Arabidopsis thaliana: one gene and its partner. The protein of the gene in region 2 interacts with the protein of the main gene of each other region in a pairwise test. Each region holds a gene or a part of one and is shown on either strand. Other genes may lie near its edges.

Region 1 (7,205 bases), on a different chromosome or scaffold from region 2:
AGCTAGCTGGAGCTTGGAACGAACGTGAACCACCGGGAACGAGCTCGAAGCCGGTGGTGCCTATATCGCCGCTTCCGGAGTTGGACAAAATTCCCGGCCACACGGTGAAGCTGCATCGATTTACGATGGTTATTGTAGCACCATCACTTCCTACCAAATGCAATGCTTTAGCTATATGTTAATATTTACATTTTATATAGAAATATTCATACTGATATGAAAGTATGATAGATATGAATATTACGTACCATGGAAGAAGAGGAAGCTAAGGATGATGAAATAGAATGAGACATGAGAATGAAGGACTGTTATGATCATCACTGTTTATTTTTGTCTCTCTATTAAAAAAAAAAAGTACTTTTGGTGGAGAAATTAAGTTTGGAATATTCACAAAACGAAAGACCAAGAGAGAAAAGAGGAAAAAGAAAGACCAAGAGTAGAGTTTAAAGCACCTCTATATATACGTTGTCTCAAGGGTCAAGCTCAAGATATGTGATGATCTCACAAAAGTATTGACCAATTTCTTTTATGTTTTAAAGTGATACAAGATAAAACAACATCTTGAAAAGCCATGTTATCACGAATATATTGATTAAAGTCTTTTTCCATATAAAATCTATAGCTTTACAGATTATCTGTTTGAAATTTTTGCAAAAGTCATAAGTTTTCGAAAATAAATTTTGTGGAAAATAACACCGAGTAATATATGCATGATAGGTGGCCAAATTAGCTAAAGAGAGTGCATATTATGGTACCATATCTAGATAAACTCGGACAATCTAGATAAACTCGGACAGCAGGACCATTAATCTTGAAAGATAAAAAACTCATACATTGAAAAGAAGAAGTTTAGGTTCCTTGATCTCTAGAATGCAAGTAGTGCGTTTACATAATCCATCAAAAACTGCTTAATTAAACTAATCTTGATATTCGAGTAAAACGATGTTCTGCTTTAAACTAAAGAGGTAAACACAAAGGAGAAACATCAGAAGTGAAATCTACAGTTCGTCCTTGGTGTTCTCTTCTTGTTGCTCAACGGGTTCGGCTTCAATGTTTAGACCACCAGCCAAGTCATCTGATTTCGTCTCAGTTGCCTCACTGGTCTCTGGTTCCTCTGCTGCCTCGATTTCCTCGTCGGCTACTGCATCAGGGCTGATGTTCAGACCGCTCTTGACTGAGTTATAAATACGGGCAGCAAAGTCTTTTGGGTCGGTGAGTATGAATCCACTCTCGATCAAAGCTGTCTGGTACATGAGCTGTGCTGTTTCCTTCACACTCTCATCCTGAGAGAATTTGGTATGTTAGTTTATTTCTCTAATAGACAGTAAGTAAAAAAAAGAATTGATGGGTCTTATGTTTGTTTTACCTCTGGGTCACTTGCAATTCTATCCTTGAGTTCTTTGATGATAGGGTGTCGTGGGTTGATCTCGAGGACTCTCTTTCCGCGCATGTAAGCTTGCTTATTAGCATCCGAGAGAGTTTGGGACTGCATGATCCTCTCCATATTAGCACTCCATCCAAACTTGGATGTTACGACTACACATGGAGTGTCAGCCAAACGGTTGCTGATTTTGACATCGTCTACGTTTTCGCTAGCGAGATTTCCTTTCCACCACTTTGTTAGCTCCTTGAATGCTTCCTTCAGCTCCTTGTCTTTTGAATCTTTCCCAACCTTCAGTCCTTCCTTGGACACATTCTGGAACTTTTTGTCTTCGTAATCCATCAGGTATTGCATCAAGTATTCATCAACTGGGTCTGTGAAGAAGATGACCTGGGAACACAAGTATGAGAACGTGTTATGCGAGTTGGAGATCATTTAAAGAAGAATTATTCGTGTGCAATGCAAACCTCATAGCCCTTCTTGATGAGCCTCTCCAGGAATGGAGATTTCTCTAGCTGTTCCTTGCTGCTTCCTGTGATGTAAAATATGTCCTTTTGGCTCTTTTTCATTCTCTTAATGTACTGATCCAGGGAAGTCAATTTTCCATCGGACTTTGTTCTGAAATAGCAAAATACAAATCTTTAGCCTGCTGGTGCTAATGAATGGACAGACGTGTATTAAAAAAAAAGTAACAGAGCTTACGTCTCAAAACGAAGAAGTTTTGCCAAGCGGTTCCTGTTAGCAGCATCCTCAATGATACCTAGTTTGACAGACTTGCCAAACTCGTTCCAGAATTTTGTGTATTGACCCTTCTTCTCATCGTTCTCACCAGACTTCTCCACATCTGCGTGCCAACAAGTCAATAAGCTTAGACCATGTTTCAGAAAGATGAAGCTACCAAATGGTAAAAAAAAGTGGAACGGTCAAAGTGGATTGATACCAAGAAACTTGTTTTATGGAATACCTTTTTTCTCATCATCATGGATTTCATCAGGATCTTCTTCAGCAAGCTTGCGGATCATATCAAGCGCCTTTCGGATAAGCTTCTTCTTAATTGTCTTTAAGCTGCTGTGTTGTTGAAGCATTTCTCTTGATACATTTAGAGGCAATGTGTCAGAGTCAACAAGACCCTGCAAAAGCAACTCACGTTAGGGATTTAGCCCATAAATTTGTATTGAAAGAACCCCTTAGTTTGTCTTTCAAGTAGTTTACCTTCAAGAAACTCAAATACTTAGGCAGAAGCTCATCAAATTCATCTGAGATGAACACCCTCCTGACATATAGCTTCAAGTTCGCCTTGTTGCTGTTGTAATAGCTCTCGTATAGATCATGGGGAGCTTTCGGAGGAACATACAACACAGCCTTGAATTCAACATCACCTTCAGCATTAAAGTGACTCCAAGCCATTGGCTTCTCGTCGGTAAAATCCTGTATAACAACTGGGGTCAGGGAAATCCACACGAAAATTTTACACCTAGTATGTAACAAGTATGATTTAGTTAACGCATGGTTTTCACCTTTGAGAGAGAGTGGTAGAATTTAGTGTACTCTTCCTCTGTCACCTCCTTTGGACTTCTCAGCCATATAGCCTTAACATCATTCAGAAGCTCCCATTCATAAACTGTTTCTTTCACCTTCTTGGTTTTCTGCTTTTTCTCACCATCTTCCTCCTCAGCATCTTCTTCCTTTTCTTCCTCGGTAGAGGTGGTTTCTGAAGTCAAGTACCATTACCAAAAATCAGGGCTGCCTAAACTGAAGGGAAAAAAGATAACACTGCAGCAGAAAATTATAATATGGTGTTTCATTAATACTCACCAGTTTCCTCATCAGCTGATTCATCTTCCTCAACTGGGACCTCGGTTTCAACCTCTTTGCTAGCCCAGAGGGAGATAGGGAAGTTAATGAATTCAGAATATCTCTTCACCAATTCCTGTAGTAGACAACAATGATCATTAGCAACCATAATGAGAGGATAAACAGAAATATTGAATAAGCAGTGCACTGAATTCATAATAATGCTGAACCACTTCCCCTCAGGAGAGTTTGGGGTTCTCTACAACAAACCCTGGGTTATTCTGGTTCTTTGCATTGCTTAATTTAGGTTTGTAACAAAAGAGAAATTTACTTTCTTATCAAAATATTACCCACCTTAAGTTTACTTTCTTCTAGGTACTCGCCAGCTTCATCCCTAAGATGTAATCTAATCTCGGTTCCACGTCCAAGAGGCTCATTCCATGTATCCTCGGAAACAGCAAATTTACCGTTAGCCTTTGATTCCCATACATACCTGAAAACGGAAAAGAAGTTATCAGAAAAGCTTTTCAATGATTTTACATGCCCACAAGTATATTGCCAAACAAAGCCCTCTAAATCAACTTACTGGCTGTCATCATTGTGCTTGCTAATGACTTCAATGTAGTCAGCAACAAGATAGGCAGAGTAGAATCCAACTCCAAATTGTCCAATAAGGTTCAAATCCCCACTTGATTGCATTTTCTCAACAAAAGCTGCGAAAGGCAAGATCTTAGAAATATGGAATTTATTGATCCATACTATTATGCAGGACAACGTATCACCACATAAGTAACGTACCTGACGTTCCAGATTTTGCTATGGTACCAAGGTTCTTGATTAAGTCTTCCTTAGTCATACCAATTCCCCGGTCTCGAATAGAAAGAATCTTCTTGGCTTTGTCTAGCTTAATCTGCATACCATAGCATAGTTACGGAGGTAAGAAAAAAGCTTACACTAGACACAATTCCAACGAAAGGCTAAATTTACTGAGATCAGCATTTGATAAAACAAATCGATGAAACTCTATTTTCAACACTCTCAAGCATAAAAATCATATTGAGAAACATGTAGCTAACCTGGATCTCAAGCTTAGCAGTGTCACCTTCACCCAAAACGTCTTTGTCAGTGAGTGCAAGGAACCTAATTTTGTCCAAGGCCTGAAAATCACCAACACAGACACTTATTAGTTCCCCTATTTAACGAGGTATCCCAAAAACTCACTAAAACAATGTACACGAAGCTGCTTACATCAGAAGCATTGGAGATCAACTCTCTTAAGAAAATGTCCTTGTTACTGTATAGAGAGTTGATAATAATGTCCATAAGCCGAGAAACCTCAGCTTGGAACTCAAACTTCTCCGCGTTACTGCGAAGCGTCTTCTTTGACATCGACTCAGACTCTCTGTCGATCAAACGAATTCGAATAAGGCAAGATTCAAGCAATCCAAGCGAAAGTTCTACCGTGAAACTAACAGAACACTAACCTATGAACTACATCGGAATCCGTCGATAAACCACCGTGACCACCAATTTTCTCCTCAACTTTTGGTGGATCTGTAACATCATCGGAACTCTCTTCTGCATTCGCGTGTAACTTTCTTCCTATGATAAACACCACAGAAATATCGCCATCATCAGCATATGAATCCTAAGCAACACTTATATCTATCTACTCAAAATCAACACATATATACATCGAAACGTACCTTGATCTGGAAGAAGAAACAGAAGCGAGAAAAGGAACAAAACGGACACGAGCGTCCTCTTCCTCATTGTTAGATCGGAGCCTTGGTTCTCTCAGTCTTTGCTTTCGGGTTACTCAGTGATGATGATGATTCAGCTCGATAGATCCGTATATAATAGGAAATGATTCAGTGATGTGTGAACTGTTTAGTTGCGTACACTTTAGTTTCTCCTGATTGGTTAGCTTCGTCATGATTTGCCAACGTGTCAGATCTAACGGATCGTATTGTGAGATAGCCACGTGGTAGTTTTGTATTGGAGCAAGGTTTTGTTCTTGACGTGGAGCGACGTGGATTTCGGGGTTGTGGCGTGGATGGACGACTTTTAAATTATCAAAGTATGCTAAATCAACGGTGATATTCGTTTACGTCCTAATTGGGACGATCGGACGGCTATATTTAGTTGTTTTACATGTGACAAATAACTATTGGATATTAGGATGCTATGCTTTTATTGATGTCGGATACAAAAGTAAAATGATGTTTTTCTTTGTACAACGATGATTATGCTTGCCAAGGTTATTACGTTTGGCTGGCTTTAATCGGTTGATGGCTAAAGTCTCGCCTAAAGGCGATACAATTTGTCAATTTGGGAAGATCATAGTCATCACTCATCCGTAGTAGCAATATGTATGCGCGGTTCAAAAATGGTAATGTCTATTTGGTCCCATTATTTATTGAAAGATACAACACGTGAGAGACTTCCTTCCTCACCAGAGACCTCCTTCGCTGCTTTCTTCCATGAACAGTTGTTCAGAAATGAGAGCATAACATATCGACGAATGGAACGAAAATGGACGCAACAGATTAATCAAACCACTAGAACCTTTTCTGTATCTTAAAACTATATATTTATTTATGGAGAAAAACCCAACAAGGTTAAAAAGAAGCTTGACATATACCAATGTTTGAACTAATCCTCCTATATGTTATGAAATAAAATAAAAAACCTGAAAAATGGGAAAACTGAGGAAATAAAAAAAAAAGAAGGAAAAGTTCAGCAAGACACTTTATAAGTTACCTCAAAACACTTGTCATCATCCTTTGACCAATCAATCAATTCATCAACCTATTCAAGAACCCATCTCCACCACTTTGTAGATCACTCACCTCCATGGAGGAAACTCCCAACGTGGCTCCGGCTCTTTTCGCTTTCCACCAATGCTGATAGAAGAACTCGATGAGGGCTCTACATTTGCTCCTGAATGCTCTCCCATAGCCCCGCTTTGTGAAGGTGATAGAAACTGCCTCAAATTTAGCGACTCTCTGTTTCCTATCTCAAGTCCAAACCCAGAGTTCTGATCAAAGTTTGGCCGCATTGATCCATTCGTACTAGGCGATCCACCCGCCAAGCTCATGAACATGTGTTGTTGAGGGAATGGTGGCTGCACATACGGCGCTGATCCGATTATTTGCGGCATCATCACTGGGGTACCTCTTGAATCCACCATGTATGGAATAGCAGTTCCAGGAACATACATGGGTGATGACATTGACAAACCAGGAGGACCAGTCAATCCGTTGTAGCCATACATAGGGGCTGGAGAAAAGGAGACACCAGGGGCTAGACCCAAAGAGTTTCCCGTTCTTCCCATGTGTAAACCTGTTGCAGGCTCGAGGGACTTGCCATTGGACAAGAACGAAGCCATCTGAGGTACAGAGTCTTTTCTGTCAGCTTCCACTTTTGTACCCAAGATAGATATACCTGGTTCTTCCAATTTGTGCCCCCCATAGGAGGCTGTACTCCATGGGTGCCGCCCATAGTAGGGACCCTGATCACGTGAATCAATGAAAAACTGTGGCCTGTCATTCAAATCAAAGTTTACTTCCTTGCCTGATTGTTGAGCAACTGACGATGAGGAGACAGGTGATGCGCTTTGCTGACCATTGTGACTTAAAAACAATCTTGTTTCCATCTTCGACTCAGAAGGTGGAGGCATCTCATCGTCCTCGTTCATACAATTCAAATCCAAGTTGAACTTGCTTGATCCTCGCAGACTGGCTTCATGTGAAGACTCTCCACCCCTAGAGTTTGATGAGGAGAAAGGAAACTGTTTCCAAGGAGTAAGATCTTCAACTTGATCATCTCCTACCTCAGCCACGTTCAGATCGATACCACGAGAAATCACCTGCTTTTCTCTTAAATCCCCACTAGGAACTTTATGAGGTAATGCTGAGTGAAATACACTCGTAGCAGCTGATCCTTTCCCGCTAAGAGATCTTTCCAAATGCCACGGTGCTGCTGCAGGCATTGCAGAAGATGAGACAGAAAATGAAACAGACATAGG
Region 2 (4,214 bases):
GTCGCCTCTACTGTTGCTTTTGTACTAATCCTTAAAAAAATCATATAGATTTAATTCACCAAAATTAAGTTAGGAAAGAAGAGGTGGTGGTGTTGAATTTGATTATGTTATCTATTGATAGTATTCATGTGATCAGTAGACGAAAAATTTTCAAAATATTGCCTGTCGACATGGGAAGAATCGAATGACTAAAAAAATAATCGATCATGTTCTTTAATTTCAAATTTAATTATATATCTATATAAATACCCTTAACTTGTTTTTGACGATCCTACCAAGCCAGAGAACTTATAACTGTCATATTCATACCATATGCTATATAATTAGTGGGATATAATACTCTATCTTTAACTTTACGCGTAACAACTTTTTAATTAGGATTTAGGAATAAGAACCTTTCTTTTGTTTGTTAAAAAATTCTTTCTCTTTCTCTCTCAATTTTTTCACTATATAAATTATTAAGTTAGACGCATGTATATGTCTTTTTACTAACACGTAGACCGGTAGACGTCCATGTGCTCCATGCACGTGTGTAAATACATCTTTTTTTGCCATGTGTGAACTAATTTTTTTAATTTGCCAAGCCAAAGTTATAATTAATTAAATAGCAGAAAGAGTCTTAAGAGAAATAATATGATTATAATGGCAGAAGAAAAGTTAAGATTTACAGATACATCCAATAGTGTATAGCCGCTTAATTAATTTATCCACACCTCAACGAAAATTTCCGTTGGTGCGCTAACGAATTCAGGCTGTGAAGTTAAAAGAAAATAAACAAAATTATAGCTTCACATAAGCGATCGATCTTCAAACTCTACACATGACAGAAGCAAATAACTAAATTAAATAGCGTAAATTTTGTAATAATACTAGAAAACCTAAAAACCAAATGTAAAAAACCTTATGGGAAAAAATGTGATAAAGCACCTAAACCATAGAATAACTTAAAATTTCAATTTCCCAATCAAGGTATGATATAAAAACCATGGAAAACAAATTCTCAGCCATATTTCTATCTGACCGAGTCTTTTTCAAAATAATATATAGACGGTAGAGTCTTATATAGTAAAAACATTTTTTTAAAACTAATTTATCTTCTCATATGAAAATGAATGCAAATAAAAATGACCATATATGCTGTAATGATATTCAAGGAAGAGATATCACAACAAGGTCGAAGAAATATACAATATCTGAAAGTCGACTATATGGTCCACTTTCCAAATTAGAGATGGAAAGAAGAAACGATTATGCAGCAAACCCATTGATCGGACGAAGAAAGAATAAATATGGAGGCCCATTACTATAGTATTTGGCCTTGAAATATTTTGGTCCGAGAAATAATAAATAAACAGTTATGGCTTTTCGGATTTGGTTGCTTTCAATTTTCTCAAATGTTTGGACAAGTGTTATTACACTCACCTAAAACAGGATCATTCCAATTTCTTGGGCTCAGAGTCTGTACTTTCTTCTTCTTTAAACCAAGGTCTTATAAGTATTCTCTAAACCAAGTCACTAAACAATAATTGGTCTTGGGTCTGGTTCAAACTTGGATCAATGTTGCCACATAGCCATTAGCCACACAAAACAAAAATTGTCTTGCCTTTATATGGAATGAAGAAAAATCGAATTTTGTAACCATTTTTGACTTTAAAGTCACACTCGCCGTATACGGCACACCAAATGACCAAAAACATTTGACCACCAACTTTGCTTTAATGTTAAAACTTTTTTTTTGCATCCCACTACTCTCTTCTTCACCTCCTCAAGTCACAGTGACCAAAATCACACACTTCACAAGAAACAACCTATGGATCCAAATGAATCTCCACCAAACCAATTTCGCCACGTGGTGGCCATGCCTTATCCAGGTCGAGGACACATCAACCCTATGATGAACCTCTGCAAACGCCTTGTCCGTCGATACCCTAACCTTCACGTCACCTTCGTCGTCACAGAAGAATGGCTCGGGTTTATTGGACCCGACCCGAAACCCGACCGGATCCATTTCTCCACTCTCCCTAATCTCATCCCTTCCGAGCTTGTCAGGGCCAAAGACTTCATAGGCTTCATTGATGCCGTCTACACAAGATTGGAAGAACCATTCGAGAAGCTTCTTGACAGCCTCAATTCACCACCTCCGAGTGTAATATTCGCCGACACTTACGTCATTTGGGCTGTGCGAGTCGGCAGAAAAAGGAATATTCCGGTGGTTTCTCTCTGGACCATGTCAGCCACGATTCTCTCCTTCTTCCTCCACTCTGATCTACTCATAAGTCATGGCCATGCTCTGTTCGAACCATCAGGTAAAGCATCAGTGAATTAGTTTTGATTCTTGAAACTTGGTATATATTGATTCTTGTTGAAACTTAATTAGTATTGATTCTTGAAAAGTTAGTATTGATTCTTGGTTTGTTTTGGAATCTAAAGAAGAAGAGGTTGTTGATTACGTCCCCGGTTTATCTCCGACGAAACTCCGAGATTTGCCGCCGATATTTGACGGTTACAGCGACCGAGTCTTCAAGACAGCTAAGTTGTGTTTCGATGAACTACCAGGAGCTAGGTCTTTACTCTTCACCACCGCCTATGAGCTTGAACACAAAGCTATTGACGCTTTCACCTCCAAGCTCGATATCCCGGTCTACGCTATTGGTCCTTTAATACCTTTTGAAGAACTTTCTGTTCAAAATGATAACAAGGAACCTAATTACATCCAGTGGCTTGAGGAACAACCGGAAGGCTCTGTTCTTTACATATCTCAGGGAAGTTTTCTTTCGGTCTCGGAAGCTCAGATGGAGGAAATAGTGAAAGGACTGAGAGAAAGTGGAGTCCGGTTTCTTTGGGTGGCTCGTGGGGGCGAGTTAAAGCTTAAGGAGGCTCTTGAAGGTAGCTTAGGTGTAGTGGTGAGCTGGTGTGATCAGCTTCGGGTGCTGTGTCACAAAGCTGTAGGCGGGTTTTGGACTCATTGCGGGTTTAACTCGACATTGGAAGGGATATATTCAGGAGTACCAATGCTAGCGTTTCCGTTGTTTTGGGATCAGATTCTGAACGCTAAGATGATTGTTGAGGACTGGAGAGTCGGAATGAGGATCGAGAGGACGAAAAAGAATGAGTTGTTGATAGGGAGAGAGGAGATCAAGGAAGTAGTGAAGAGGTTTATGGATAGAGAGAGTGAAGAAGGGAAAGAGATGAGAAGAAGGGCTTGTGACCTTAGTGAAATCAGTCGAGGAGCTGTTGCGAAAAGCGGTTCGTCTAATGTAAACATCGATGAGTTCGTTCGGCATATTACCAATACAAATTAAGGCTCAAAGAGGTTTTATTGTTTCAATACAATGTAAGGCTCAATGGCATGCTCACTAAATCATATGTATCTTTTGAATGACTAAAAAGTAAAAACCACCACCAAATTATAGCTAAATCAATTTCTTACCATATGTCAAAAATTTATAGAAATTCTAATGGTGGGAAAGCTCCCCGCTTATGCATTATGCATCATCATTTTGCTTGCTTATAATCTAAAATGATGCTTTCTCATTAATCAAACCCCAAGACGTCACAAAATACCCAAAACACATCAAAAATACAAGGAAAAGAAAAAGAGAACAAAATTGAAGCAAAACTTAAAACGGGATTTATTATGAGGCCTATCTCTACAATTCACGAAATGATCATACATCTTATTTTTTTGGTAGGTGAGAATAGACAATTGTCTCTCGCAATTTATTAAACTGCAACTAAAAAGAATATTACAACCGAACATGACCTGAGAACTCTGCCTCTAACATAATCGAGTGGACTACATTAGGAGAAGAGTCCAATGAATGAAATTAAACCTAACAGCACTGAAGAAAACACATTGTTATCAAAAAATTTACAACTATGTAGATTTTTTTTGTCAACTAGATTGTTATTCTGTTAGTTATAAACAGAATGATAACAATCTCCCTAATTTGTCTTAATTAAAAAAAAAAAAAAAATTAGCCATGTGTTGTTTTCTTAAACAGTCTGTTTCTTGGGATTAGGTTTTGTTTCTTTAAAAAGCACACCGGTCACTTGAGTGTCTAAAAACGTTATAAAAAACAACAAATGTGATAATCAGCAAAAACAGCTTGAAAGAGAAGTAGACACAATCATTAACATTATGGGTAATGGCCTAAACAATTGGACCACGTTTGTTGTAAAAGCTATCCTCTGCACTCTGCAGCTTTCTCAGT

What was found.
Region 1: the proteins of UGT87A2 (region 2) and SHD interact in a two-hybrid assay, tested with the Arabidopsis thaliana proteins (one study listed by BioGRID).

Annotation. Positions count from the first base shown.
Region 1 is NC_003075.7:12,550,904-12,558,108, forward strand, and holds SHD (Chaperone protein htpG family protein), read right to left. Parts: upstream 5,156-7,205; 5' UTR 4,949-5,155; coding exon 4,882-4,948; coding exon of another isoform or gene 4,878-4,881; intron 4,778-4,877; coding exon 4,660-4,777; intron 4,578-4,659; coding exon 4,424-4,577; intron 4,333-4,423; coding exon 4,252-4,332; intron 4,086-4,251; coding exon 3,974-4,085; intron 3,889-3,973; coding exon 3,762-3,888; intron 3,669-3,761; coding exon 3,530-3,668; intron 3,312-3,529; coding exon 3,197-3,311; intron 3,093-3,196; coding exon 2,899-3,092; intron 2,810-2,898; coding exon 2,594-2,809; intron 2,512-2,593; coding exon 2,346-2,511; intron 2,226-2,345; coding exon 2,084-2,225; intron 2,000-2,083; coding exon 1,849-1,999; intron 1,772-1,848; coding exon 1,367-1,771; intron 1,284-1,366; coding exon 999-1,283; 3' UTR 649-998; downstream 1-648. Other genes in the region: TLP1 (THAUMATIN-LIKE PROTEIN 1), read right to left, coding at 1-165, 249-318; AT4G24200 (Transcription elongation factor (TFIIS) family protein), read right to left, coding at 6,024-7,205. UniProt on the Arabidopsis thaliana protein: May have a molecular chaperone role in the processing of secreted materials. Required for shoot apical meristem (SAM), root apical meristem (RAM) and floral meristem (FM) formation, probably by regulating the folding of CLAVATA proteins (CLVs).
Region 2 is NC_003071.7:12,870,390-12,874,603, forward strand, and holds UGT87A2 (UDP-Glycosyltransferase superfamily protein), read left to right. Parts: upstream 1-1,594; 5' UTR 1,595-1,810; coding exon 1,811-2,306; intron 2,307-2,430; coding exon 2,431-3,302; 3' UTR 3,303-3,477; downstream 3,478-4,214.